Elephas maximus indicus: one gene and its partners. The protein of the gene in region 3 purifies or fractionates together with the protein of the main gene of each other region. This does not show direct contact. Links are inferred from orthologs where the notes say so. Each region holds a gene or a part of one and is shown on either strand. Other genes may lie near its edges.

Region 1 (7,801 bases), on a different chromosome or scaffold from region 3:
AACTAAACCCATTGCCGTCAATTCTGACTCATAGTAAGCCTACATGACAGAGAAAAACTACCACCATAGGGTTTCAAAGGCTGTATTTCTTTATGGCTGCCACATCTTCCTCCTGTAGAGTGGCTGGGTGGGTTTGAACCTCCAACCTTTCAGTTAGCAGCTGAGTGCTTTAATCACTGTGCCACCAGGGCTCCTCCACAAATGACAAACATATCTTATCCTGGACTCCAGAATTCCAAGAAAAAGAAGCCCCTGTGAAGGTAATCTAAATTAGAAGAGCTATACTGGGAAAAGCAAAATGAAAATTAGTATGCTTGAGATTATAATATTTGATTTTTTAAATATATACCTATGCAATACACTTGCATATCTATACGCTATCACTGGAAGAATACATGAGAAACTGTTAAAAGTGCCTCTGGGGAGTGGAACTGGGTGGCTGGGGACAGAGTAGAAGGAAACTTTTCACTGTGTCCCCTAAGTATCTTTGGCATTTTATAACATACATACATTACCACTTCAAAAAATGACTTTTTAAATTTTAAATTCTTTAAGTAAAATAAAAAAAGAGTATTTTAATCAACCTAAAATGCAAAACTTTCCAATATTTAGGCTCAAAATCTTATCTAATCCTGTACAGACCTATCTAGGCTAAAGTGTGCTTCTGGAGCCCCAACGAACTAGATAAAATTATGGATCGTTGTTGAATTAATAAGATGTAGTAAATCTATAAGAAGTGATGTATAATTAAAAAAATAATAACAAGTTGCCCTTGAGGACATCCAATTTCTTAGATTTAGAAAATCTATAGAGGGTTGGCTGTACAGAGACTACAGGCAGATTTATTTTATCAGCTAGTTTGCTGTTTTTATTTCATCTCTATTCTCTCTCTAATCCTTCTTCTCACTGTACAAGAAATGTTAATGGCATTTCAGTTTCTTTTGGTCATCTGTTAGATTCCATGTGACCTCACTCCCATGTGGCCTTACCTGATCAGATGGGGTGTCTACACCTGACCCAAGGGCAACTCATTGAAAACATGAGTACAACTAATTAGAGTACTTTGTTGGGAATTTAGAATTTGCAAAATTGAATACTAGAGTTATTATTGTTGGGAACTCCAGGCAACAGGTGAAGAGCAGTGTGGTCAAGTAGATCATGCAGGGTCAGAAGAGATGGAGCCATACATGCACGTGTAAGTGAACAGGCAGAAAGACAAACTGCAAAGGAGAATGGAGCATGCGGGAAGAGAGGATGAGAGACAGAAGAGGGACAGAATGAGAGGAAATAAGAGTGAATGTACACTTTTGGCTCCCAGTCCCTGGTCTCTGCTCTCTTGAGGTCAACTACACTTCAGTCTCTTTCTTTTGGTCTCTGTGAGATTCTTCTGAATCCTTGCAATAAACATTTTGTTTCTTATACCGAAAAAAAAAAAAAAAGTTGTCCTTGAGTTGATTCTAACTCACAGCGACCCCATGTGTATCAGAGTAGAACTGTGTTCCATAGGGTTTCCAATGGCTGGTTTTCCAGAAGTAATTGCCAGGCCTTTCTTCCAAGGCACCTCGGGGTGGATTCAAATTTCCAACTTTTTGGTTAGCAGCTTACTGCATTAACCATTTGCACTACCCCTTAATCTAGATTGGGGGTATGATGAAGAACATTACTTTTAAAGAAAAGCTCTAACCTGATCCAAAGAGAATGGAAAGCCAGAGAGTCACTTTCTGACACTGTTCCTCTGTTTCAGACGAATTCTTCCACAATAACAAATATTAAAAGCTAATAGAGAGAGAGAGAAAAAATAGACAGTTGACAAATATACAAAATGACTGTAGGCACTAGACTCCGGAATAACATTTGAGGTTTTAATTTGTTTTCTCACCTTAGATGAAAAGGTAAGGAAACAAAAAAATTCAACAAGGCTTTATGTAAGAAAGTAAAAGAACCAGGATAGTTCCATAAACACAATCTCACCCACTCGACATATAAAAGAGGGTGAATAAGCAGAGGGAAAGAACTTACAAAGAAATAATAAAAGAAGGGTGAATGAGGCTCTCCAAAAACTAGAAACAGCTTTCTTTCACTTAGAACACTAAAAATTATCACATTCATTTCTAAATGAAATCACCTAGCGTGGCGGTTCTCAAAGTACGGTCCAAAGACCCCTGGGAGACTCCTCCCTTTTCCAGTTATATATCTGTGTTAGGTTGGATTTTCTCATATACTTCAACCAAAACAAGATGTCAGGTTGAATACGGAAACATGAGAATCCAGCTGTCTTCTAATAAGGCAGACACAAAAGAGATTTGCAAAAATATAAAACAATGCCATTCTTCAAACTAAATTTTCTTTTGTTTTGGAAAATGTATTTTTCATTAAAAATGTTAATTATGGTAACATGTAATGGGTTTACGGAGCCCTGGTGGTGCAGTGGTTACAACCCCAGGCAGCTAACCAAAAGGCCAGCAGTTCGAATCCAGCAGTTGCTCCTTGGAAACCCTATGGGGCAGCACTACTCTGTCCTATAGGGTCGCTATGAGTCAGAATCAACTCGATAGCAACAGGTTTGGTTCCTTTTTGGTTAATGGGCTTATGATTGTTATTTTTAAATTAATTATTAAGTAAATATTTTTAAATTTTCTATTTTAATTTCTAGTATTTCAATACGAATAGTTATAAACCATATAAACAAAAGCTTTCTGGAGTCCTCCACAATTTTTAGGAGGACAAAAAGGTTCTGAGACCAAAAAGTTTGAGAATTGCTCTAGCTAAATAATTCAGTCTTGCAACATTTCTCAAAAAACTTTAATCCTCCTCTACCCCATTTAGAATGTGCTCAAAATTTACAAACAATAAAACTGTTCCCTCCTTATATTATGTCTGGAATCCTGGGTCTAAAAGAACAAAGGTAAACCTTAGAGTTGTCCTCTAACACACACTCCAGAGCCTAAAAGACATTAAAAAAAAAAAAAAGAAAAGCCTATATTTAAAGCTTCTTTAAGCCTGAGTCTAATTTTCTTCAGCCTGTATGTCTAATGGCATGTGTACTCCTGCTTATTTTCATGCCTGGATAACTAGTACTGGTTTTTATCTCTTTTTGTGCTCAACAGGCATGATCTGAAACAAAACTTTTTAACAAGAAAGAAAAAGAAACAATAAAGATTCCAGCTACCCTTACTGACCATTATACATGTAACAAGGTATTTACTGTCGCATCTAATAGTACCTGCCTGAACTAAACTTTGTACAGAATCTTATAAAGAAATTAATGGTGAACTAAAACCTCCTGATTCAGAGAGTGCAAGAGAGCACAGACATGGCCACTTACCATGGCCACTTATCACCAAAAGAATCTTTCGGGGACTGCTGATATCTTTTATATTCTTCCTACCACAGACGCACACATTTCCCAAACTGGTACCGACCTCAAACTAGCATTGTTGTACTTAAAGGAGCACATCCCCGTAAAACTCCCAGATCCCCACACCATTGCCCCTCAGAGGGTGTCAAGGTTTGGAACCGAAAATGCCTAATTCCCCCTTGAGAAACCAAAGACAAGAACTTTGAAGGATCTGTATTTTTGCTCTCTCGCCTCACCAATTTCTCTCAGGGACAGCAATGAAGACCTGACATATCGCACAGTTAAATATCCTTAACTCTCCTCAGAAAGTACTGTATAGTGGCTTTCTAGCCTCTCTTCCACATCAAGAATCCTACCAGGAGGGAATTTCTCCTCAGCTAACCCTACTGCTGAGGTATCAGGATTCTTATTCCCGCTCAGATCGTCGTTGCCCCCCATTACACTGTGGCATTTTTGTTTGTGTTGAGGGTGAGGTTCAAGTTAGATTCTAAAGCGGAGGGGTAAGAGCTGGTTGTCGCCCTGAAGAGACAGCTTCTCCTCAGACAACAGGTACTGGGATCGCCCGCGCCTAGCAACTGCATCTGCAACCTAAGAAGAGTCTAATACCTTCTAGAGCGAGGAGCACCTAAAAGCAAGCAGTAGAGTGAGCACCTGCAGCGATTATGCAAGCCCCTACAACCTGGATCCAGTTTTCCCGCCACGAAGAAAAGGCGCGAGGACGCGCACAAGCTCCACCCCCCCAGCGGCGTGCTCACGAGGCCGAAGCGCATGCGCAGCTGAAAACGGCTTCTGCGCTTGCGCGCGAATTATTGCCGCCATTTTCCAATCTGTAAAACTACAAGTCCCATAATGCTCACTGCTTCACCCGTGTTTTAGGAGGCGGTAGCAGCGCCTGATTGTTCCTGAAACACTTCTTTCTTCTATTATCTTTCCTTCCCACTCTGCCTTGTCCTTCTTCTTTGCTTTTCCTGATGCCTATTCTTCCTGTTAGGCCCCTTCACGACCTTATTTTAACACTTTCAGCCTATCCTTAGCCCCACTCTCCGCCTCTTCTCAGCCATAAGACCTGCATCCCCAAGCACTCTGTTGGGAAAGAAAACGGGCCACCTATCACCCTGTGGAAAGAGCGTCAAATAACTTTCCCTCATTGGCCGAGACAAGGGGCCCCAAAGCAGGCCGATTCCTCTTCTCCGCCCACACACGTTTTTATATAAGGCGGCGCGAAGCCGCAGCGTGCGTTTGGGAAGGACTGCGTGCGAGGTGGTGTTGGTGGGTGTACTGCTATTGGTGGGTGTACTGCTATTGGTGGGTGTACTGCTATTGGTGGCTGTGGTGGGCGTCGGGCTGGTGGGCTCGTGCGCAGGCGTCGGATGGCGGGCGGGGGCGTTGGTGTCCGGACTGTGGGTGTGGAGGCGGAGAGGAGGGCGGGGTGTACCTAGGTGATCGCGATTGGGGGAACGCGGAGGAGCGAGAACCACTCAGCCATTTCGGCACAGGAGGAAGTTGGAAAACCTTGGCTTTTTTAGTGTTGTTTTTCAGTCCAGCAGAGAGTATTTTCGGGGGAGGGGGGTGAGTTAAAATGATCTATTGCATATTACTGAGAACAGTTCGTAGGAAGGCGATCAGTACACTCCGATCCTTCCCTTCCTCTACCTTTAGGTTCACTCCTCGGCTCCCTCTGAAGCCCTAAGGGGATGGGCTAAGGGGGCAATTCGTTATGAATAATTCATGAGCCCGCCCCTTTTCTTAAGAAGCCACGCCTTTCCGAGCTGCGCTGACGCACGTTGCGTGTCCCAAACCTGAGGAAGCGACGTAACAGTCCCCGCCCATAGGACGGAGGGCGGGGTGTCGTCTCCAGCACGTGCTGCTTCTACCCGCGCAAGCCCAAAAGGGTGTGCGCAGGCGCTTCTCACTAGGGGAGGAAGGAGGCGGGGTGGGGAGGTTGTTGGGTTGAGCGCCGGGCGGAGACCGCTGAGACTCATTCCTCAGGAACAAGGGTCGTGTGTGAAGGAGACCTTTTCACACCAGCTCCCCGGCCCCCGCCTACGGTGGGTGGGATCGCGCGGCAGAGACAAAGGATATCAGTAGGGACGGACATAGCCACGAAGGGAAGTAGGGTGTCAGCTTGGGGCGGTGGGTTTTTGGGGGGCTAAGGGAGAGACTATATTTAAACTCCCTGGAGCCGTTAAGTTGGTTCGTACTCCGATGCGCGCGCAACCAGGGTGGTGGCGGTGTGCGCATGCGTGATTCTGGGGCCAGGGGAACGCGCTTAAGTAGTGCGCGCTCGCGATTAGGTGGTAGTGGTGGAGGAGAAAGGGGTCGGCGCAAGCGCGGTTGGTTTCTCGAGTTCGGGTCTCGCGGGCTTCTTGTTTTGGTCTCGCGGGCGAGCAGGGAGCGAGACTAGGCGAGAAGAGCAGAGCTGCGTGCGCACTCGGGAAAGGGGGGAAGGGAGCAGGGTCTAGGAAGGGGGGTGAAGCCCCCTGATCCCCCCTCGTTACCCTCGGCTGGGACGGAGTAAGGGGAGGAAATGATCGAGATGGCAGCGGAGAAGGAGCCGTTTCTGGTGCCGGCCCCGCCGCCGCCGCTCAAAGATGAGTCGAGCGGAGGGGGCGGCCCCACGGTGCAATCGCACCGAGAGGCCGCCTCCGGGCACCTCCGCGGCCGGACAGAACGCGGGCCGGGCCCCCGCGTACAGTCGGCGGGGGCCCCGGCTTTAGGGGTTGGCAGGGAGAGCCCCGGAGCTGCATCCGCCCCTCGAGCGGGCCAGTCGCAGCAGCAGCAGCAGCGAGGGGGCGGCCCCCAGGCACAGTCTCACGGGGAGGCCCGCTTGTCGGATCCCCACGGGCGGACCGCTCACTTGGACGTGGGGGAGGAGCGACGGGGAGGGGGCGGGCCAGAGCTGTGTACCCCTGCCCCTCCTCGGCCTCGTAATGGCTACCAGCCCCACAGGCCCCCTGGGGGGGGTGGAGGCAAGAGAAGAAATAGTTGTAATGTGGGGGGAGGTGGCGGAGGCTTCAAACATCCGGCCTTCAAGAGGCGCAGGCGAGTTAATTCGGACTGTGACTCTGTGTTACCCTCCAACTTCCTACTGGGGGGCAATATCTTTGATCCACTGAACCTGAATAGTCTTCTGGATGAGGAAGTGAGCCGCGCACTCAATGCAGAGACCCCTAAGTCATCCCCACTTCCGGCCAAGGGGCGTGATCCAGTGGAGATCCTCATCCCCAAAGATATTACTGACCCCCTCAGTCTCAATACTTGCACTGATGAGGCCCAAGTAGTTCTTGCCTCACCACTCAAGACTGGTCGGAAGCGGCATAGACACCGGGGACAGCACCATCAGCAGCAGCAGGCATCTGGAGGAAATGATAGCCACTCCTCCGTGCTTCCCCCAGCCCCCCTCACTCCTTCACTTCATGGGGAGGGCGCCACGCAGCAGCAGCAGCAGCAGCAGCAGCAGCAGCAACGGCATAGAGGCCAGAGCCGGGATGCCCCGCAGCCCTATGAACTCAACACAGCCATCAACTGCAGGGATGAGGTGGTGTCTCCCCTTCCAACTGCCCTACAGGGTTCCACAGGCTCCCTTTCAGTCCCTCCAGCTGCCTCAGTTACCCCTGCACCCCCGTCTTCCTCCTCTCGACATCGCAAACGTCGCAGGACTTCCAGCAAGTCGGAGGCAGGGGCCAGGGGTGGAGGCCAGGGTCCCAAAGAAAAGGGCCGAGGGAGTGGGGGAGGCCGCTACCACCACCACCCTCTCCCTGCAGCAGGCTTCAAAAAGCAACAGCGCAAGTTCCAGTATGGGAATTATTGCAAATACTATGGGTACCGCAATCCTTCCTGTGAGGATGGTCGCCTTCGGGTGTTGAAGCCTGAGTGGTTTCGGGGCCGGGACGTCCTAGATCTGGGCTGCAATGTGGGCCATCTGACCCTGAGCATTGCCTGCAAGTGGGGCCCATCACGCATGGTGGGCCTGGATATCGATGCTCGGCTGATCCACTCTGCCCGCCAGAACATCCGACACTACCTATCTGAGGAGCTGCGTCTCCCACCCCAGACTCCCGAGGGGGACCCAGGGGCAGAGGGTGGGGAAGGGACCACCACCATCCGGAAGAGAAGCTGCTTCCCAGCCTCGCTGACAGCCAGCCGAGGTCCCATTGCTGCACCCCAAGTGCCCCTGGATGGAGCGGACACATCAGTCTTCCCCAACAATGTTGTCTTCGTCACGGTAAGAGGGTCTTAAGTGCATTAACTCCTCACTAGGAGAACCAGATCCTCGAGAAGGGTCTGAATTAGCGAGTGAGTGCCTCCACTGGGTGTCTCTCCCTGCCTGTAACCTGGGAGAGGTGGGGTCTCTAACCTGGGGTCCTTTCTCCTGACTGCAGTTCTCTTTCCCAAGACAGTGGTTGACTCGTTTTGCCCTGCTTCCAGCCTGGGCTATGTCCA
Region 2 (7,904 bases), about 57 Mb from region 3:
ACAGATTTAGGAGGAAATCAGAAGTATCACTGTGACTATGTTGAGAATACGATGTTAATAAGACAACCAAGTGGAGATTCCAGAAAGGTAGATGGATAAGCAAATCTGGAACTCAGGGGAGAGTTCAGGACTGGAGACAAAAATCTGAGTCTCCAAAACATAGATGATTTTTAAAGCCACGGGGCACTAAATGATAATTACTACCTAAGCAGACAATATAAATGGAGCCCTGATGGCGCAGTGGTTAAGAGCTTGGATGCTAACCAAAATGTCAGTGGTTCAAATCCACCAGCTACTCCTTGGAAACCCTTTGGAGCAGTTTTATTCCATCTCATAGGGTCGCTACGAGTCGGAATCTACTCGATGGCAACGGGTTTGGTTTTTTTTTTCTGGTTTAGGCAATATAAAGAAAATAGAAAAGGACTCAGGACTGAACTCTGGAACACTCCCACATTTACAGATCAGGCAGAGGAGGAGCCAGAGAAAAAGACTGGAAAGAAGCAGTAGCCAGTAAGAAAGGACAACAAAAAGCAACGCATGGCATCACAGAAGTCAAAAAAGTATTTCAAGGAGGGAACGGTCAACTGTGTCAACTACTACTGAGGTAGAGAAAAAAAACAGGAGATAGAGAAGTGGCCATTGCATTTGGAAAAATGAGATTGTTAGTGACCTTGACAAGAGCTGTTTTTCATTGGTATGGAGGGAAGAGAAGCCTGAGTGGTTTGAGCTGAGGAGAGAATGAGAAGTGAGAATACGAAAACAGTGAATACAGGCAACTTTTATTGTAGGTTCTACTTATCACATAGGAATCCTGGTGGCACAGTGGTTACTAAGAGCTTGGCTGCTAACCAAAAGGTCAGCAAGTCAAACCCACTAGCCATTCCAAGGGAGAAAGATGTGGCAGTCAGCTTCCGTAAAGATTTACAGCCCTGGAAACCCTATGGAGCAGTTCTACTCTGTCCTATAGGGTAGCTATGTATCGGAATCAACTCAATGGCAGTGGGATTTATCACAAGGGTCAGATAATCAGGCTGACTCTGACCAACTGCTTCCAAGTAACCTCCTATCAAACCTCTAAATCTTGGCATTCCTCAGTTCATGTAGGACAGAGGCAGATTCTTTTTTGCTTTCAATGAAGTTTTTTTTTTTTTAATAATATTATATTAAGTTTTTGGAGAAAGTTTACATAGCAGATTAGGTTCCCATTTGATCATCTCTATACAAATTCCTCAGCGACAGTAGTTACCTTTTTCACAATGTGTCAACATCCTCTTTAATTGCACCTGGTTGTTCCATTTCCAGTATTCTAGTTTCCCTGTTCCCTTATCTTCTCATCTTTGCTTTAATTGTTGATCTTCTAATTTCATACACACGGTTTTTTAATAGAGCACCATACTCACAAATAATGTCCTTTATTTTGTGTGCCAATCTGTTATTTCACTAAAAGGTGACCTCAGAGGATAGTTTCATTCAAGGTTTATAAAGGATCTCATGGTAATAGTCTCAGGGACTCCTCTAGCCTCAACTGGTCCAGTAGGACTGGACTTCTTAAAAATTTGAGTCCTGTTCTATCAGGGTTCATCTACTGTGGCCCTGATAAGAATGGTTGGTAATGGTGGCCAGGCACCATATAGTTCTTCCAGGCTCAGGGCAGATGAGGCTATGGCTCCTGCAGGCTACTAACCCTATAGATTAGTTTCTTCTCTGAGACCTTTGCTCTGGATGAGCAGAGACCAGTAGTTGGATCTTAGACCGCTGCTGGCAAGCTTTTAAGACCCCAGATGCTACTCACCTCAGTAGGATGCAGAATATGAACTTTGTGAACTATATTATGCCAACTGACTGAGTTGTCCCATGAGGCTAAGATCCTAAGCATTCAAAGTATTTGGTTACATCTGAGAAGTACCTGTAACAGTATCTTCTATGAATATGTGTGCACACACCTATCTCTATATACACATACACATAGATACTTCTATTTGTGCACATATATGTATACATCTGCACCTACCTATATACAAATGTACCTATACACCTACATATGTGATCATACACTCACTTTTTGGTTATTGTTGGTGTTGCCAAGTTACATATGTCACATTGTTTAGTATAAATATCCTTTTCTCTTGTGTGGTTCTTACTGGCATCATTTTCTTTGGTCAAGCTGTGCTCATTACACCCACATTCAGAGCTACTCTTCCCATCACCAAAAATAACAAGTATCTACAATCTAGAGAGTTATACCCGCTCAATGAAGTATTTTATCAAGCATTCCCTATATGCAAGGCACCCTAGGCACTGTGTGAGTTGCTAATGGAAATGAGGAAGACCCTGTCCACAAGTAGCTCATAGTACAACAGAAGTGAGAAGACACATATAGTGGACAGATGCCAAGATGATGGCTCAGATGAAGGAGAGTTCAAACAAGGAGTTTCCTTTCATTTGTGAGAGGGGATGTGGAAGGCTCTGTAGAGGTAGTGGCTCTTGAGTCTTAATTATAGGTAGAATTTGAAGATGTATAACTGAGGGTACGGAAAGAATGTCATTCCCAGCAAAAGAAATAATACAGGAGGTGCACAGGCAGGAAAGCATAGATTGGTTCTGGGAGAAAAGCTGGAGTTCGTTTGGCTGGAACAAGGGCTACTCGAAATATGAAGGAATAAGGTCGGATTGGGCATATCACAGGTGCTGTGTCCTTGGACGGAGGTCTGGGCCCGTAATATCGTCGACTGGCCTATGCCCCCCAGGAGCCAACACCGCCCCTGGGGCCCCGCGCCCCTTCGCCCCAGCCCACAGGACCTTCTCGGGCTCGTGTCCCTTCCCTGAGGCATTCTTTACCCCCTTGGCATGTGCCACCACCATACTCCCATTCCCGCCCTTTCTGCAAGTTCCTGGGAACCGCCTCCATCGCCCGGGACTCACCACCCTGACTCTGAACCGCCCAACGCGGCCTCAACGTCGCGAAGCAGTCGCCATCTTTCCCGTTTCCTGGTCGCGGAGGTACGCCCCCGGCCGCGCGGCAAACTGGGAAGGCGAGTTTCAGACACCGGGCAGCGAGGGCCGACAACGGGAGAATGAGAACTACCAGTCCCAGAGTGCACGGCGCGAGCGCTTGCGCCAGGCCGCGGGCCGCGGGGTCTGCTGGACAATGTGGTTCGCCAAAACTTTTGAGTAGGCTAGGGGCGGGACCCGGACGGGGCGGGGGCGGGGGCGGGGGCGGGGGGTTAGTTTTCCGACGGCTGAGTTCCCGCAAGAGGTTCTCAGCTGCGTAATCTTCCTGGAATATGATGGTCTCGTTAGAAATTGGAAATCCTGGTGGTGTAGTGGTTAAGAACTACAGCTGCTAACCAAAAGGTTGGTATGTTCAAATCCACCAGGGGCTCCTTGGAAACTCTGTGAGACAGCTCTGCTCTGTCCTGCAGGGTCCTTGTGAGTCGGAATCCACGCCACTGCAAGTTTTTGTTTTTTTTTTTTTAAATTATTAGAAACTGCAGTCATAACGACTCTCATGGCCTGTGGCTTACAGGGGAAGAATTTAAGAGTTTCATTAGATATCAACAGCAAGTACTTACAACCGTTTGTGGAGAGCCGTTTTTGCAAAAACGTGAGGTTCGAGATTATTAGCCCCGTCTTAAAGATGGACGAACTAAGGGTTAGGTTACAGGGGTAGCCTAGTATTTCACAAGAGCGGGACAGTTCTTTGTGCGAGACTATCCCACCCTTTGGAGGACTTTTTAGGCAACCCTGGTCCCTCGGGGGTAAATGCCGGTAACCTCAGCTATTGTGACAACTCAAAAAGAACCCACACATTTCAGAGTCCTCCTAGGAGGGAAGTATCCCTGGGCTGTGGTACCCGTTTTCTCAACATTCTTTCTCCACATTCCAGGTAGGACCCTCGCTTTCTCATTTCCTTGCCTTTTTGGATCTGGATCTGGGCCTTCTTGGGATTTACACTTCTTTCTTCCTCCTATTACCCCCTCTTCACTCCTCCACTGAATTCCTTAACCCCATATTATGTGCTCATTTTGTTTTTCTTTGGGCTTATGGGTTCATAATGCTTCCTCTAAAAAAAACAAAACAAACAAAACTCTTGCAACTTCTAGGATGTTTAGATACCAGGAGGTATTTAGTGCCTTCTTCCAATTTTCCCATCATCAGCTTTGTTGTCTCTATCCCGCTGGGCTGTAGTCTGGCTTTTCTCTCTGAATATGATTTCAGTTCTCTCCAAGCAAAGCCTCAGGATAGACGCAAATAATGAAATCCTAAAACCCTGAGCATCACACACAATGGCCCAAAGTAACCCTGGGATCATTGCACATTTCTGCTCTTGGAACTCTTAAGGCTTTGACCTTCTCTCCGTTTCTACCCCAGAAATAAGTGAAAGAAAAAAAGAAGCCCAAGATCTACGAGATGTGATTCACCCAGTGAACCCTAGAGGGCTCTCCACTCACAGAATGGAACCCCAACTAAATTATACCCACAGGGGTAGCCTGGAAATCTAAGAGCTGCAGCTACTGTTGAGAATCTTTTAAGTGCCGAACTCTGTGCTGCCCTAACTTATGTTACTTAGTTTACTTAGCTCTCATAGCTGTATGAGATGGGTATTATTTCCATTTTACTGATAAGGAGATTGTGGCCCAATCCAAGCCAAGCCCACTGCCGACGCGTCAATTCTGACATAGTGACCCTATAGGACAGAGTAGAGCTGCCCCATAAGGTTTCCAGGGAGCAGCTCGTGAATTCGAACTGCTGACCTTTTGGTTAGCAGCCCATCCCTTAACCACCAGGGCTCTGATCGTGGCCCAGAAAGGTTATTTAAGCCTTCACAGGCCACATAATTAAAAGAATGGAGCTAGAATTCAACCCCAGGTTTATTTGACTTCAGAGTCCATGCTCTTTCCCTGTTTCCAGACTACCATTCTTCACCATCTTTAAAGATGAGGCTATTGAGACCCAGAAAGGTGACAAAGGCTGTCCACATTAATAGTTCTCCTAGTACTTGTACACACCTCTCTCATAATACAAATAAGATCTTGAGCTTAAAGAATACTCAGTGTTGTTTGTCTTACCCTGCTGGTTCTCTCCCAAACATGCATCTTTTGAGACAGAAACAGAGGGACTGTGCCCTAGGAAGGCCATAGGCAGAGTCTCCTATTTACATATGACATGGCTAACAGTAAGGGACCCACGGCATTATAGCTAACATTGAGACCAGGTTTGAATCCTGACTGAATTATTTACTGGTACTGCGATCTTGTGCAAGTTATATGGCATTAGTTTGGTTTTTCTATTTCCTCATTTACAAACCAGGGATAATAATACCGCTTGCCTCACAGGATGAGACAGCAGAGCAATTAAGAGTATAGGTTCTGGAGAGGCTGTGGAGAGACTGCAACACTTATACACCGCTGGTGGGAATGTAAAATGGTACAACCACTTTGGAAATCAATTTGGCGCTTCCTTAAAAAGCTAGAAATAGAACTGCCATACAATCCAGCAATCCCACTCCTTGGAATATATCCTAGAGAAGTAAGAGCCTTTACATGAACAGATATATGCACACCCATGTTTATTGCAGCACTGTTTACAATAGCAAAAAGATGGAAGCAACCAAGGAGCACATCAACAGATGAATGAATAAATAAATTATGGTATATTCACACAATGGAATACTACGCATTGATAAAGAACAGTGATGAATCCGTGAAACATTTCATAACATAGAGGAATCTGGAAGGCATTATGCTGAGTGAAATTAGTCAGTTGCAAAAGGACAAATATTATATAAGACCACTATTATAAGAACTCGAGAAATAGTTTAAACAGAGAAGAAAATATTCTTTGATGGTTACGAGAGCGGGGAGGGAGCGAGGGTGGGAGAGGGGTATTCACTAATTAGGTAGTAGATAAGAACTACTTTAGGTGAAGGGAAAGACAACACACAATACGGAGAGGTCAGCATAACTGGACTAAACCAAAAGCAAAGCAGTTTCCTGAATAAACTGAATGCTTCAAAGGCCAGTGTAGCAGGGCCAGGGGTTTGGGGACCATGGTTTCAGGGGACATCTAAGTCAATTGGCATCATAAAATCCATTAAGAAAACATTCTGCATCCCACTTTGGAAAGTGGCGTCTGGGGTCTTAAACACTAGCAAGCGGCCATCTAAGATGCATCAGTGGGTCTCAACCAACCTGGATCAAAGGAGAATGAAGAACACCAAGGACACAAGGTAATTACGAGCCCAAGAGACAGAAAGGACCACATAAACCAGAGAAACCAGAGACTACATCAGCCTGAGACCAGAAGAACTAGATGGTGCCCGGCCACAACCGATGACTGCCCTGACAGGGAGCACAACAGAGAACCCCTGAGGGAGCAGGAGAGCAGTGGGATGCAGACCCCAAATTCTCATAAGAAGACTAGACTTAATGGTCTGAGACTAGAAGGACCCTGGTGGTCATGGCCCCCAGACCTTCTGTTGGCCCAGGACAGGAACCATTCCCAAAGCCATCTCTTCAGACAGGGATTGGACTGGACAACGGGTTGGAAAGGGATGCTGGTGAGGAGTGAGCTTCTTGGATCAGGTGGACACTTAAGACTATGTTGGCATCTCCTGCCTGGAGGGGAGATGAGAGGGTGGAGGGGGTTAGAAGCTGGTGAAATGGACACGAAAAGAGAGAGTGGAGGGAGGGAGCAGGCGGTCTCGTTATGGGGAGAGCAATTGGGAGTATGTAGCAAGGTGTATATAAGTTTTTGTATGAGAGACTGACTTGATTTGTAAATCTTCACTTAAAGTACAATAAAAATTAAAAAAAAAAAAAGAAAGAGTACAGGTTCTGGAGCCAGAGTGCCTGGAGTTGAATCCAGCTTCTCCCAATTTGCAGCTATGTGACTTTGGGCACGGTAACTAATCTCTTTGAACCTTGGTTTCCTTGTCTGTAAAACCAGGTAGGTAATACCTCCTAGGGTTATCATAAGGAATAAAATATAAAGAACTCTTAAGTGCCCCTGATCCACAGCAAACATTGAACAAATGTTAGCTATTATAATTTAGGTTAAATGAGAAAGTGTAGGTAAAGCCCTCAGTACAGTGCTGAGCACATAGTAAGTACTCAAAAAATAACCTAAAACCAAACCCATTACCATTGAGTCGATTCCGACTCATGGCAATCCTATAGGAGAAGGTACAACTGCCCCATAAGGTTTCCAGGGAGCAGCTGGTGGATTCGAACTGCCAACCTTTTGGTTAGCTGCCGAGCTCTTAACTGCTGTTCCACCAGGGCTCCACTCAATAAATGGTAACTTTTTATTTTTGGCACTGTACTCTGAAACTTGAGCAGCCATTAACAATGGAATCAGAAGGTCAAGAAGGCAGAGAATCAAAATATATATAAAACTTCAGTAACAACAAAAAGACAATCCAATCATCAAATGGGTAAAGGACTTGAATAGAGATTTCACCAAAGAGGGTGTTCAAATGGTCACCAAACACATGAAAAGATGCCGAAGATTGTCATTAGCCATCAGGGAGATGCAAATCAATGAGATTCCATGTCATTCCCACTAGGATGGCTAAGATAAAAAAAAAAACAGAAAATAATGTTGGCGAGGATGTGGGGAAATTGGAACCCTTATCCATTGCTGATAGGAATGCAAAATAGTTCAGCCATTGTGGAAAACAGTATGGCAGTTCCTCAAAAAATTAAAAATAGAGCTACCATATGGCCCTGCAATTCCACTCTTAGATACATACCCGAAAGACTCGAAAGCGGAGACTCAAAAAGATACTTATATATCATTATTCATTACAGCACTATTTACAATAGTCCGAAGGTGGAAACTACCTAAATGCCCATCAACCCATGAATGGATAAACAAAATGTGGTGTATACATACAATGGAAT
Region 3 (6,931 bases):
ACTCTTTCATCAAAAACCTGGCTAAAATATTTATAGAAGCTAATTTAACAGACATGCAGTGAGTCCATCCATCCCTTTGTCTGGCCTGTCTTCCCCGTTAAGAAATGCTTTGATTTTTTAATTACTTTGGTATTGTCCCTTTAGCATTCATTAAAAAACATTTCAGGAGTTTCACTTGAGAAACTTCTTTCAGAGCTAAGTGCTGGGAAAAGTTTTGCTTTCTCCAGCATACTCTTTTGTTTCCCTTATGGCATTATGAATCAAATGTCTGAGCTCTTCTTACTTTAACCACGAGGAATCATCTGTGGCTGAACTCTGGGTTAACCCCAAGTCTTGTACCTTGTATATCAGAGTTACAGCATCTTCCCGGCCTTGACTTTATTCCTGATTTTGCTTTATATTTGTCAGTTTCATTGTATGCATTCTGTAAGCCACATTAAGACCTCTGAGGAACAAGGTGGAATATAATAAATACAATTTTATAACTTTTGTAACTCTAGCTTACCTGCATGTTCATATAGCCATCTACAGATACCAGGTAGCCCTTGTACTCCATTCCCCACTTAAGTTTCACCATCACTGGCTTTCCTGTTAATCCGTTCAGGAAAGGTTTGGGATTGAGGGGTAAACTCTGCACAAGGAATAAATAATAACAATAATAAAGGACTCAATTGATTCTTTTCCCTTAGCTTGGCTTCCACCACGCTTTCTTCTCTACCAAATCATCCACCAATATTTTATGTATCCAAGTGATGCAAACTCTTGATTCCCTTTCACTTTTTAAATTGTGAAAATTAATACATAATTTTGACTATTATTTTTTGAAAAGCACCAGGAAAATTTAAACAACCAATCAGCCAGTTTCATCTTCAACTCATCAAAACTTTTAGAAGTTTGTTATTCACTTAAGAAAGACTGTTTCAGGCTCTAAAGAAACAAAGGTGAAGACACTAAAAAAGAAAAAAAACAGCAGATGATATAGTCTCTGTCCTCAAGTAGCTGGCGGGGGCTGGGGGCGGGCGGGATACATACAGATGGACAGATGTACCAAGTGCAGATACACACTGGAGTACTGAACCAATACGGGGGAAAGGTTGCCTGAAATAAGTAATGCCTCAGTTTTAAAGGAAGAGAGGTGCTTCCGGAGAAGAAAAAGGACTGATGTAAAAGCAGCTAAGGGTGTAGCAACAAGGTAAGCTCAAACCAGCTGCCCTAGTCAATTTTGACTCGTGGTAACTGCATGCCAGGCCTTTCTTCTGAGACGCCTCTGGGTGGGTTCGGATCACCAACCCTTTGGTTAGTTGTTGGGTGCTTAACTGAAACCACCACCCAGGGACTCCTAAGGTGACCTCAGAGATATACAAACAATTCAGTGTTGTCAGAGTACCCAGACATGAGGCTACAGAAGCAAGCAGGGGCCAGAACCTTCACTTTAATTTTAGGGGCTAGGATTAGGTCTTATTTGGCTTTGTATTACCAATGCCCAGCAGCGCCTGCTACATATTGTAGGCAATCACTTAAAACCAAAAAAACCAAACCCGCCGCTGTTGAGTAGATTCCAACTCATAGCAACCCTACACGACAGAGTAGAACTGCTCCATAGGGTTTCCAAGGAGCGGATGATGGATTTGAACTGATGACCTTTTGGTTAGCATCCAAGCTCTTAGCCACTGGGCCACCAGGGTTTCACTTAATGTTTGTTTATTCAGCAAAACAGTAGAATCCCCAGTGAATTCAGACTTTTCTCCTTCCCTCATTTGCTTTCCCATCAGCTCAAAGGAAGGAAAGAACCAAGAAACCTAGCTACCCAATCCTTTTAAGATAAGCATATTCAGAGTGATCTCACAGGACACAGGATCTACTGCAATAACCTCCTAATAGGTGTCCAGTTTTCACTCATCTTTCTCCAGTTTATTAACAATACAGCAAGTATTATTATTTTTTAAGGTATATATCGAATGTCACACCTCTGCTTAAAATGCTTCAATAACTTCGAATTGCACCTGAAGTAAAATCCAAACCTACTAAAATGGCCTAAAAGGTTCAGCTCAATGCCTGCCTCTCTGACCCTATCTCATAACTCCTCTTTCCACAAGAAGCACTGTGGCTTTTGGGTCAACTCCTGGAAAATGTCAAGCTTTCTTCCCGGCCTTAAAGGCTTTGCTCCTGTTCCCTGTGCTTGGTACACTCTTTCTCCTGTTCTTTAAGGGACCGTATTTCATGTCATTTAGATGTACCGTCAAATGCCGTCTATCAGGGCAGCCATCCCTGATCACCTATCTAATGTACGAAGCATCCTGTTTGCTTCCTTCTTAGGATTATTTGTAACTGTATGTTTATTTGTTATTATTTGATCAATGCCTGTCTCCCACATCCCACTATGGGTTCACACAGAGCGCAGGGTCCGCATCAGTACTTTTCACCCACCACCTCTGGCGCCTAGAACAGTAACTGACAGGTGGATGCGCACAATAAAGATTTCCGGAACGAATACACGAATGCTTCAAAGCCTGTGCTTTGGGTTCCAGAGGGCTGCGGGCGGGGGGTCCTAACATCTTTGAATCAAAGTGGATTGTGGAGTGTGATACTCAGGAAGTGAAAATGGAGCGTCCCAAAGTCCCGCTTCATCTTTACCCTGGCCCTGTGGCCTCGGTCAGGTAGGAAACCTCAGGCCTGGGTTCAAACGAAGAAGAGCGGGAAAGAGAGCAGGATGCTGGGGAGGGGAGGGCACCGGGAGGCCCTCAAAGTCCCCAACTCAGGGAGAAAGGGACTGGCGGCGAGATTCACGGATTCTCACATGGATGAATGGGGAACGCGCGAAACAACTACCAGGCCTGTCTAGACCGGTCGCTCTCCCTCTCCGGCGACTCACGCCGTTCTCTCCTTACCATCGTGACTACGGGTGAATGGTGTAGGATCCTCGCCGCCGACCCAGCTGTTGTCCGTCCCTCGTGATCGAAGCAGCCGCTCTAGGCCCGGAGTCGCGGCACTCCAAGAGAAATGGCCGCCAAAAAGCAGCGTGACCTTTCACCTCTAACCCAGCCCGTCTGGCTTCTCTGATTGGGCACAAAGAGACGCGTGCTGATTGGAGGAGGTGGCTGTGCAGTGTCTCCTGGCAACCAGCGGCATGCTTTCCGGGCTTCGAGACCCGTGAGGAGTCTTCGGCCGGACTTCAAAGGCTAAGGGACCCGACTCCATCTTCCTCGATGGGGTGGCAGGAAAAGCCTTGTGTTGACTTCCCGCCTGGGAGATGCTATATATCGTGTAGAACGGACGTGATTTCTCGTCAACTTGGCTAATAGAGGTTTCCTTTGCTCTTTCGGCGCAGTGGTAAAGAGCTCGGCTGTTAACCAAAACGGTCGGCAGTTCCAGTCCACCAGCCGTTCCTTGGAAATCCTATGGGGCAGTTCTGCTCTGCCCTGTAGGGTCACTATGAGTCCGAATCGACTCGACGGCAGCGGGTTTGGTTTTGGGTTTTATAGTTTAAGCCAAGCAGTTCTTGGAGTTATTTATCTCAAAGTTCCGTGAGTTTTCTTTTAGTTTGATGATCATTCAATAAATATTTAGCCTTTACGCAGACTTTGAGTTCCTACTTTGGGCTAGGCTCTTTCACAGTTGTTATCATAGAAATCTTCCCAAACAGTATTTTGATTTGGCAGTTACAGCCCTATTTTAGAGATGAGGAAACAGGCTCAGCAGGTAACTTGCCCACTATTCCATAACTGAGTTTCAACCCCCAAACTCTGCTTTTTGACTTACTTAAAGCATCCTTTCAGTCATTCAATATATACCTTAGAAATCTGACTTTGCTGTTTTCTCTGTGAAGTGAAACAGTATCTTACAGTAATCTGTGTAAAGATGTTTGAAGTTGATTTTTTCTCATGTTAAATATTAAATTTAAATACCTTAAAGTCGTTGGTATTTTTCTAATTATAAATGCTGTACATTTTGTGGGGGTCTTAGAAAATACAGAAAATTCTAAAAAATAAACCAAAAGTCACTGATAATCCCACCAATCAAAAAAAAATTAACTTTTTTAATGTACTATTTATTGTAACGCATGCTGTTTTAAAAAATAATCTACATACCGTTTTGTAACTTGTTTTCTTCACTTTATATTGGGAAAATTCTCATATAATTAAATATGCTTCTGAAGTGTGGTTTAATGTCTCCATTATTCTGTTTTGTGAATATGTGATCATTTATTAATCGTTCTGTTGTTTCCATTTTCCCATTATAAATGATGTGCTTTGGACATAATTTTACATGAATCTTTGAATGTATCTCTGATTGTTTACAGTAAATTCCTAGGAGTATAATTCTTGAGTTAATAGGCATTATTATTTTCAAGGTTTTAAAATATATTTATTGCCATATTTGTATGTGGTTCAACAGAATAGCCACCAGAATAATCAGTTTTAATTTGGGGGTAATGTTGTTGTGTGCCATCAAATTGATTCCAACATATAGCAACCCTATAAGGACAGAGCAGAAGTGCTCTATAGGGTTTCCCAGGCTGTAATTTTTACAAATTGCCAGGTCTTTTCTCTCAAGGAGCAGCTGGTGGGTTCGAACCTTTGAAATTTTGGTTAGCAGCCCAATGCTTGACCATTGCACACCAGGGCTCCTCTTGGGGGAAATTTTTCGAGATGGGAAAGAATATATCTTGAGCACATTCTGAGGGAACTTTCCTCAATTATTAATTAGGATGAAACCTAGCTGTAAATAAGCGTCTAAAAAGTAATTTATTAAATGACCAAGATATATTTATTGAGGGTTTACTACAGGCTCCTAGGTGGTACAAACGGTTAACCACCTCACTGCTGACTGATAGGTTGGAGGTTCAAGTCCACCCAGAGGCTTCTCAGAAGAAAGGCCTGACGTACTTCTGAAAAAGTAGCCACTGAAAACTTCAGGGAACACAGTTCTACTCTGACGTGGGGTCACCGTGAGTAGGAATCCATTCAACAGCAGCAAGTACTGATACTGTGAACTAGGCACTCGGGGGGAATAGTGGGGAATGAAATGGACGTGTGATCTCTGCCCTCCTGGAACTTTAAAACCTTTTTTGAAGAAAGGAACTAATACATACTGAGCGCCTGCCATGTTGTACAAGGGTATTTCATGTAATTTATTTTACTTGAGGAGCCCTGGTGGCACAGTGGTTAAGAGCTTGGCTACTAACCAAAAATCGGCAGTTCAAATTCACCAGCCACTCCCTGGAAACTCTATGGGGCAGGTCTATTCTGTCCTATAGGGTCACTATGAGTCAGAGTCAATTCCACAGCGATGGGATCTTACTTAAATCCTCACAGCACTTCGTGGTAAGTATTAATCTTCCCATTTTAGAAATGAGACACATTCAGAGAGGTTAAGTATTTTTGCTCAAGGCCACATAGACTGAAAGTGGCTCCAAAGCCCAGGATTTCTCCTTTATACTTGCTACCTCTCCCCAAACTGAGTTAGAGTAGAGAACAAGTGAGCAAATACATAGAAATACCAATATGAATGCAGGGTGGAGGAAGATAGAGTTTAGGAAGTTACTTTTGAGATTGATGAGCTCTTCCTTTTATATTCTCTCCTTTATTCCCATAATACTCAATATTTTCTTTGTTTATAATTATGGTCAGAATTAATTATCATGGCCAGGATAGGCTTAAGGGGGGGGAAAAATCTGAGTTAGATCAATGGTTTATAAATGCTAGCCCCTAAACCTGGATCGCTCTGCATACAGTATTGGGACTTTGAAAACTGTCTTCGTTATTTAAAAATAAACGAACAAACCCAAAACTTAAAAAATTGTGCAGTTATCTTAATGAATACTGTATGGACTGACTAAAACCTCATGCTTTCTGCTTTTGATTAGAATGAAATCAGAAGGCAAATACTGGTTGATTATCATGGATCAGAAGCTGTAATTGACATTTATATAAATGGGAAAGTAAATTGTCAATAAATGACACTTATTCATAGATTCATTTTAGAGGGAGGGTAGATAATAAGAGAAGCCTTCAAGGCTGGGAATCACTTAACTAACTAGATGACCACTGGAAACCCTGGTGGCATAGGGGTTAAGTGCTATGGCTGCCAACCAAGAGGTTGGCAGTTTGAATCCTCCAGAAGCTCCTTGGAAACTCTATGGGGCAGTTCTCTGTCCTATAGGGTCACTAAGAGTCGGAATTGATTCAACAGCAGCAGGTTAGGTTTAGGTTTAGATGACTAGTGTTAAATATTAACATTAAACCCTTTTCAGTTCTTAGCCATATGTCCACAAGGTGGCAATGGTGTTTTGAGTAACATCTGATTGACCGCCTGGAACTTTGAAGTGAACCTCTATAAATGGAGACCTCACTGTTCTCAAAAAACAAAACGAATAAAACCTGCATCTCATGGAATTCCCCCCCCCCCCCCCCCAGTTTCCTTTGCCTTCAACCTCCTTCCACCTTTCCTCATGCCTCAAATGTCTCCATTGGACCAAATTTTAGAAATAAAGCTGGTTATTCTACCTCTTCGTCTTTTTACCCTGTTGCCAGAGGTATCTCCAAACACCCGCCTCCTCCAAAACAAAATGGAGATCTGGACATTATTGCTCTTCTGCTCACCAACCTTTCTGGTTACCCATTTCTAGCAGCCTTAACAAATCCTTGCCAGCTTTTCTCTATAGATTCATCTCTTTCCATTCTGTCCCACAAACAAAAGCCTTTCCCAGAACCACAGGCCATGTTCTTACACTTGATAGTCCCTTCACCTAAAAGTACTTTCAGCCTGGAAAATTCCTCCGTATCTTAATGTTCCTGGTCCAGCTCAAATGGGTACTTTATAACTGAAGCTTTCGCTGTCTTCCTCAGGTTATTATCCTGTCACATGGGCCTACACAATCTTATCTTGTTTTAACACTAATTGTACTCTATTTTATGGAGCACTGGTGGCA
Region 4 (7,211 bases), on a different chromosome or scaffold from region 3:
GCCAATGCACCTCATTTGTAACCACCACTAGTCTATAAGTGGAGGCTTGTGGAGCTTCTAGACTAAGGCAGACTAGGAAGAAAGGCCTGGTGATCTACTTCCAAAAATCAGGCAATGGAAACCCTATTGATCAGTTGGGGACCAACTCAACAGCAGCCAATAACAATTCAGACATTTAACACAGGATTTAATTAACATACATATTTTTATTAATAGATTGCTTGAAAATAAGATAAGTCAAAAAAGAAACAAATTTCTATATTGATCAAATTTGGGTAAAACAAAAAAATTAATGTACATTTTTATGAAGTGAGATATAAGGGGTGAGAATAAAACTGTTAATATCATTCCACAAGTGAAAGTTGCCTATTTTTACATTATTCAGTATCTAGTGCTATTTTTAAAAATGTGTGGGTAAAGTAATTATGAACTATATCTGAAGAGGTAAGTGAAGTTCAGAGAGCCCCAAATACATTCTTCCCTTCTCTTCTCTGAGATAAAGCTATATGATGTTCCAGAAATTAAAATTTGTTTGATAAATCTAAATTAATTCACAAAAAAGAAATTACAAGTAGTAATTTTAAAGACACATTTTAATAGTCTTATTTATGTGAAGTTTTCCCATTAGGTAACTGAAAACACTTTTGGTAAAAGTACTTATAATGTAGTATTTTAATAGTAGTTTTTGCTATGAAAATTGAGTTAAATTCTTCAATAAGCAAATCAAAAATTACTATCTTCTATAGTAATAAAAACCAAACACTGAGAAAAGATATCTTAAAGTACTCCTGTCTACTGTGGTAATGAAAATCAAAGAGAAAGGATTTCATAAAGTATTCTTATGATAAAGTAAAATGTATGGTTACAGCCTTATGCAATATTAACACATTGTCTCTGAATCTACGGTTATTTACAAACCTGAATAACAGAAACAGTAGCTCCATATCATACCTTACAAATGATCACAACTACGTATTCTGGATTTTCTAACCTGAAAAATTTGCAATGAAAAAGATCTTAAGATTTTTTATAAATTTTATCTTTCACAAACTTACTCAATGTTTTACTTGTTTCATTACCAAGTCATATAATTTTTTCATTAATATTAACTATTTTCACATAGATCAGTAAACCTAAAAAAACTCTTGATGGATGAGAAACACCCTTCATTTTAGAGCCATTCCTCTCCAAAGCAAAATTCAACGTAAATGAGGCATTCCAATGTATGAAGGAAAATTATGACATTTTTCATTGCAGTTTACACTGAGCTATTTTCATTAGTCATCAACTAAAATATTCAAATATTCTTTAAATGTATTATGAAAACATCTTTACTGAATTTATTCACACTATCTAGTCATGTAAATCAGTATTATCTTCATTTACCTGTAAGGAAACCAAGGCACAAAGGTGTCCATTTTGTAAATTGCAAGGTCATTTCCTAACCAAGAACCTGAGCCTACACCATCAAGTTTTATTATACATTTGCCACTTCCAAGTGCCAAAAAACAATTTACTGTACCTTAAAAGAACTGCCTCTGCAATACCTATGTACAATTTCATTTTATCAGAAGTGTGAAGGATTAATTCAACAAGATTAAACAATGAAAGCTGGAAAAAGAGGACTAAGAAAATAAAAACACTCACTTTGGAGCAGTGAAAAACTTTAAATAACAACATGTATATTTTTTTTAACATAATCATCAAGTAACCAACAGTTGTTTCTTACAGTTTCAAAAAATATTTCATCTTTCAGGTAGATCACATAAAAAGAAGCCTATCCATCCTTGTAGACAGAAGTTAGAAAAATAACGGTAAATTCTGTAAGAAGTAATTAAATGCATGACATTGCCAAAGAAAAGAATTGAATAAAAAAAAAATTAAGTAAATTAGGGAACGTTCAATACGGCAGTTAAAATCCCATCTTAAATATTAAATCCTCCCTTTCATTCAACTGGAAACTATTAGCAATCAAATATCCTCCTACTGAAAATACAAAACTTTTCTTAATCAAAATTAGAGAAATTGTGTATCAAATACCTTATTCACAAATTTGACAAATTAAAAAAAAAAAAAAACTTTTCCCAAAAGAAGCTTGGAGCATACAACAAAACTGTTAGAGTTCATGTGTTCGTAAATACTGCACTTGTAAATAGGATAAATGTAGTGCTATCAACAATTAGAAAATGGAAGTTACCTAACATCCAAAATAAAGTACGTTAAATAAGACGTACTGAATAAGCAATAAATCAATTGCTGAACAGAAATAAGATTTAACCAGCACGTGAATCTAACACTAAAGAAAAAAAGTATATTGTAATGCACATCTTACATAGAAAGGGATAGGATTAAACTGAGCCATGTTAAAATACCTAGTGTAGCTAGGGATTAACTAACTAATCGGTTATAGGACAGGTCGTGAATGTTCAGGTCAGATGTGCTGTCTTTTCATCATTATTTCAGTTCCTCAAGTGCAAGAGAAGGCGTCAGGGCGCCGAAGCTAGGGGGCATGCTGTAGCAAGGGGAAAAGAAAAATGGGAAAGGTGCAACGGATGCTGCATAGTTGAATAATTATCTGGGTGGCACAATGGGCGAGTCCTGCCGACATCGGAGCTGAGCGAGCAGCTCCTTAACTCTGCCCGAGGTACACCCTGCCGAGGCGCCTGCCCCGTTTCGCATCCTCTTCAAACGAATAAAGGGTCCCCCACTCGCTTTACCGTTATGTCTTTAGACACAGACGAGCGGCACAAACACGCAAACGCACAAGCTTGCTTTACAGAGCAGCGGAAACGTAGAGGCAGCAGGGGCTTCTCCCCGACCCAGTGCTGCAGCCTTCCCCAAAGCTAGGAGGCACGGGGTCTGGCCGTGGGTGCAGGTGGCCAGGGGAGCTCCGGCGACGGCACCTCAGGTGAGACCCGCAGTCTCTTCACCTAAAGCACCCCAGGGCGGCCCCTGCAACCGAGACCCAGGAGCGCCCGCCGCCGTCTCCCTCAGCACCCAGCCCGGCGGGCGGGTGGGCGGCGGGAGATCGGGAACCCACGAGTGGGGGTGGGGACCATCGCAGGGGGCAGGCGCGCCCATCCCCGTAACCTTTGAGGGGCTAGAGATCCCCACACACCTCTCTCTGTTCCGAATGCTGAGGAGCTCCTCTACTAGCAACCCCCAAAACCCCCACCCTCTAAAAAAAAAAAAAAAGGGCAATTCCTGAGAGACTCGCGCTCACCGTGAAATCTTAAGGGGGCTCTTGCTTACCCCTTCTTCATGCTTCGACGGTAGTCGCTGAGCTCCCTGGACTCCACCCGGAGCGCCCAGGAATGTCGGGCTCTGGGGCGGAACCCACTCCCGGCAGCGGCTAAGGCTAAGAGGGACAGGGACTGCCGCCTACGGCGTCCGCCGGTCGCCGGACTCAACGTGTGCCCGACGCGCCAGCGAACAACACCGCGAACCGCCGCCGCCGCCGCCGCCGCCGCCGCCCCCCCCACCCGCCCCCTCCCCGCGCGCGACGTTCCACAACCGGGCGAGGGGACCCGCGCCAGAAGCAGGGGGGACGGCTGGACTCTCATCCATCTAACCTTCCATCCTTCCCACCAGGAACTATTCCCCGCCCATAAAGGTCTTCGAACTTAAGACTTACGTTCCTCTTCAGTCTCCAGCGCCCAGGTGTAGCCCTTGTGGGAAACTCAGCCTCCGCCCACTCACCTATCACTAGGGGGTAAGAATCGCTATTCCCCTCTTTCCTGAGGATGTATGGTATTGCCCTATCCTCAGTTTGGGGGAGGGGGACGGAGAGAACAGCGCTTGGCTAGGGAATGAGGGAAGATGATAGCCAATTGAATGAACCATCTATTCAGGGGCGGGGTCGAGAGAGGACGGCCCTCCGCGCCCCGCCCCCTCACTCCAAACTACACTTCCCATTGTACCTTCTCCCACTTCCTGCCGCGCGGCACGCCGGGAGTTAGGACTTCGAGGCCTCAAGGTGTTTCGGAACTGGTAGTCTCCGAGTCAGTCAAATAGGTCCTGAAAGCTATAAGTTATTTAATTGTCTCTGTTTCTCTAGATAAGTGTTTCCAAATTTTTATTTCTCCTGTGGTTATTATACTAATAATTAATTTGTTGTTTTAAAATGTTATAAATGATTTCTTAGCGAAACGAGGTAAATAATGTGTTCCATGGTAATCTGTCAGGACCTGCGTGCCACTTCTTCCGCCGGGGCCTGGTCTCGGCAGAAGATCTGTTGCCGTCATGTCGGCTGCGATTGCAGCTTTGGCTGCTTCCTATGGTTCGGGTTCAGGGTCCGAATCGGACTCGGACAGTGAGGGTGGACGGTGTTCGCTGCCAGCCGCCGATTCCCTCATGCACTTGACTAAATCGCCTTCTGCCAAGCCCTCTCTGACAGTGGCGGTGGACTCGGCTCCGGAGGTGGCAGTTAAGGTAAGCACTTTGGCCGCTGCTGCGGTGCGGGATTTGTCCCAAACCCGGCAGCCGCGAAGGCTCCTTAAGCCCGGAGTTACCGCTTCCTTACTACTGAAAGAGAAATTGCTAACGCTTGGATTTCTTCTCCCTATATGCGTCTTCCTGGAGAGAAATCGAGAACTGGAATTTTTTTTCACTGTTTCCTGCCTTTATCTCCTGCCCTAAGAAAGCAGTTGAGAAAGTGGGGTGGGGGGAAGCGGTGAAATTTGAATTTATGGATTGGGACGTGGCCTAGATAGAGCAAGTACAATCTCAGTATGAGTAAAGCTACATCAGAACTGCCCAAACTAAAATGCGTGAATTTGGGCAAATTATGCAACCTCCCGTTTCCTTGTCTGTTCAGCGAAGGTAATTGTAACAGCACTTACATATGTGAGAGGACTATTTTGAAGGTTAAGTGAAACGATACAAATAAAGCTAATAGCACAGTGCGTGGTACCCAGTGAGAGTTCAGTAATTATTAGGTATTTTTTTTTTATTATGTATGTTATTACATGTTAGAAAAGGACCTTGAATTTAAGAAACAGTGTGCATGATCGCAATGGAAGAAGTAATAGAGGGAGATGTTCGGTTATTAAGTTTATTCAACATATTTACTGAGCACGTTGTTATTTGCCAGGAACTGTATTAAGGACTGAAGACTCAGGTGAACAAGCCAGACATCCTTGCCATCATGATCCATACATTCTAGTGGGAGAGACACAATAAAAAATGAGCAAATGAAGTGGTTATAGATTGGACTCAGAAGAGAAACCATGCAGTACTATGGTAGAAAATAAGATAGGAATATGCCTTGAGATAGGTTGGTCAGGGAAGGTCTCTCTCAAAAGATTGGACCTGAAGAAAGACAAGAAGCCAGCTATGTACAAGCTAAGACAAGAGCTTCCAGGCAAAGGGGATGGCAAGCCTTGAGATGGCAAAGAGCTTGGCATGTATGAAGAACAGAAGAAAGACCCATGTGGTGGGAGTCTGGTGAAAACATCCATCAATGTGGACCCAGTAGAGCCTGATGGGGTGATCAGAAGCTCAAGATATAGAAAGGGAAGGCAGTGTGCAAAAATTCCTTTGTATTTAAGATGTTTCAAACCAATATAGTAAGTCTTTTACAGGGTTTTAGTAAGCCATTTATGAATTTTATTTTTTATTAATGAACATCTGGCATGAAAGAATGCTTAAAGCTCTTCTATCTAAAACAAAACAACACTCGCTAAACTCATACTCCTCCGGCAACCTCCTGAGGTGACATTCCTTCAACAGCTTAGCTTTTTGGAAGAGGGAGCTGCACTCCCTCTCTTCACTTCATCTCATTTTCTTTTCAATCAGAGTCTGGCCCTAGCCTCTCGGGAAACTACTGTCCTTGAGTAATCTAGAATCAGAAGCCTTGTAATTGTCAAATTCTGTCACCTGGCTGCATCAGGTGACTCTTAAATAATAGTTCATCATTCTTGTAAGTTTTTCTCCTTTTGGCTTCCATGGGGCCAACCTCAGTCTTCAGGGCCACTGACCTGTCTCCCCTTTCAATATTGGAGTTTCCCCAGGCTCCGTCCTTAGTTCCTTTTGCACTCCACCTACTGTTCCATGATTTCAGCCTCTGTCTCTATACTCTGATGACTTACAGATGAACGCTATAAAGTGGTTAACGTGGGTTGTGGTGGCATCAAGACTGCTAGGATTCAAATCCTGTCTCTAGCAATTACCAAATAGTAACCTTGCATAAGTTACATAAGCATTCCGTGCCTTAGATTTTGGCTGAATCTTACTAAACATCTCTCCCGGGATGGCTGTCAGGCGCCTCAGATTCAATGTGCTCAAATATTAACACATTTTCTTTTCATCAAAATCTACTCTTTTCCTGTTTTCCCTTTTTGACTACTGACCTTACAACCCACCCATGGGTCCAAACCAGGAACAGAGCCGTAATCCTTTTCTTCCTCAACCCCTGAAGCTCATCATTCAGCGGATTCTAACATTTCTGCTTCATTAATTTTCTACTCTCACTTCATATGATCTTCATTTCTCCCAGGAGTTATTTTTTACTTTTCTTTCTCTCAGCGCTACTTTTGAATCGTGGGACCTGGCCATTGTAACTCATTTGTTGATGTTTTGTACTGTTGAGTGGATTCCAACTCATGGCAATCCTATGTGACCTAAGCCGTAATCTTTACAGAAGCGGAGTGCCAGGTCTTTGCGCCCACGGAGCTGCTGAGTAGGTTCAAACCGCCAACTTTTTAGTCAGCATAATTCATTAGTATTTACCAAATCTCTTTTCTGATGCCACTCTTCAGTTTAGATTCTTATCATTCCCCTTCAGGTCAATTATAATAAACTCATAACTTGCCTTTCTATTTCCTCCTTCACATTCCTTGCTCCACAGTGCACCCAGAGTGATCTTCCTAAATTTCAGTTTCATCCCTCCCCAATAGCCACCATGTTTGCCTACTGGGTAAAATCAAGTTCCTTACGTAGCATATGAAACCTGCCATGCTTCATGCTGAACTCTTTACAAAGCCCCAAAAGCCTAATTTTCTTTTCTCCCACCCTCCTCAAGATTTTGCCCATGCTAGTCTCTCTGCCATATTTATGCCTATTCCCAAGAAAGGTGATCCCACCAAATGCAGAAATTGTTGAACAATATTATTAATATCACACGCAAGTAAAATTTTGCTGAAGAACATTCAAAAGCAGCTGCAGCGGTATATTGACAGGGAACTACCAGAAATTCAAGCCAAATTCAGAAG

Evidence for each region.
Region 1: the proteins of SNRPF (region 3) and MEPCE purify together in Homo sapiens (affinity purification with mass spectrometry; 4 studies listed by BioGRID and IntAct, counting the BioPlex papers as one, with this or other methods). This does not show direct contact. The link is inferred for Elephas maximus indicus from reciprocal best matches to the Homo sapiens genes SNRPF and MEPCE.
Region 2: the proteins of SNRPF (region 3) and DDX23 purify together in Homo sapiens (co-immunoprecipitation; 3 studies listed by BioGRID and IntAct, counting the BioPlex papers as one, with this or other methods). This does not show direct contact. The link is inferred for Elephas maximus indicus from reciprocal best matches to the Homo sapiens genes SNRPF and DDX23.
Region 4: the proteins of SNRPF (region 3) and CDC40 purify together in Homo sapiens (co-immunoprecipitation; 3 studies listed by BioGRID and IntAct, counting the BioPlex papers as one, with this or other methods). This does not show direct contact. The link is inferred for Elephas maximus indicus from reciprocal best matches to the Homo sapiens genes SNRPF and CDC40.

What each region holds. Positions count from the first base shown.
Region 1 is NC_064830.1:91,844,393-91,852,193, forward strand, and holds the start of MEPCE (7SK snRNA methylphosphate capping enzyme), read left to right. Parts: upstream 1-4,786; 5' UTR 4,787-5,885; coding exon 5,886-7,583; intron 7,584-7,801. UniProt on the Homo sapiens protein: S-adenosyl-L-methionine-dependent methyltransferase that adds a methylphosphate cap at the 5'-end of 7SK snRNA (7SK RNA), leading to stabilize it.
Region 2 is NC_064822.1:104,287,648-104,295,551, forward strand, and holds the start of DDX23 (probable ATP-dependent RNA helicase DDX23), read right to left. Parts: upstream 3,014-7,904; 5' UTR 2,923-3,013; intron 1-2,922. UniProt on the Homo sapiens protein: Involved in pre-mRNA splicing and its phosphorylated form (by SRPK2) is required for spliceosomal B complex formation.
Region 3 is NC_064822.1:161,191,563-161,198,493, reverse strand, and holds the start of SNRPF (small nuclear ribonucleoprotein F), read right to left. Parts: upstream 3,022-6,931; 5' UTR 2,892-3,021; coding exon 2,889-2,891; intron 632-2,888; coding exon 506-631; intron 1-505. UniProt on the Homo sapiens protein: Plays a role in pre-mRNA splicing as a core component of the spliceosomal U1, U2, U4 and U5 small nuclear ribonucleoproteins (snRNPs), the building blocks of the spliceosome.
Region 4 is NC_064819.1:176,117,238-176,124,448, forward strand, and holds the start of CDC40 (pre-mRNA-processing factor 17), read left to right. Parts: upstream 1-4,201; 5' UTR 4,202-4,242; coding exon 4,243-4,431; intron 4,432-7,211. UniProt on the Homo sapiens protein: Required for pre-mRNA splicing as component of the activated spliceosome. Plays an important role in embryonic brain development; this function does not require proline isomerization.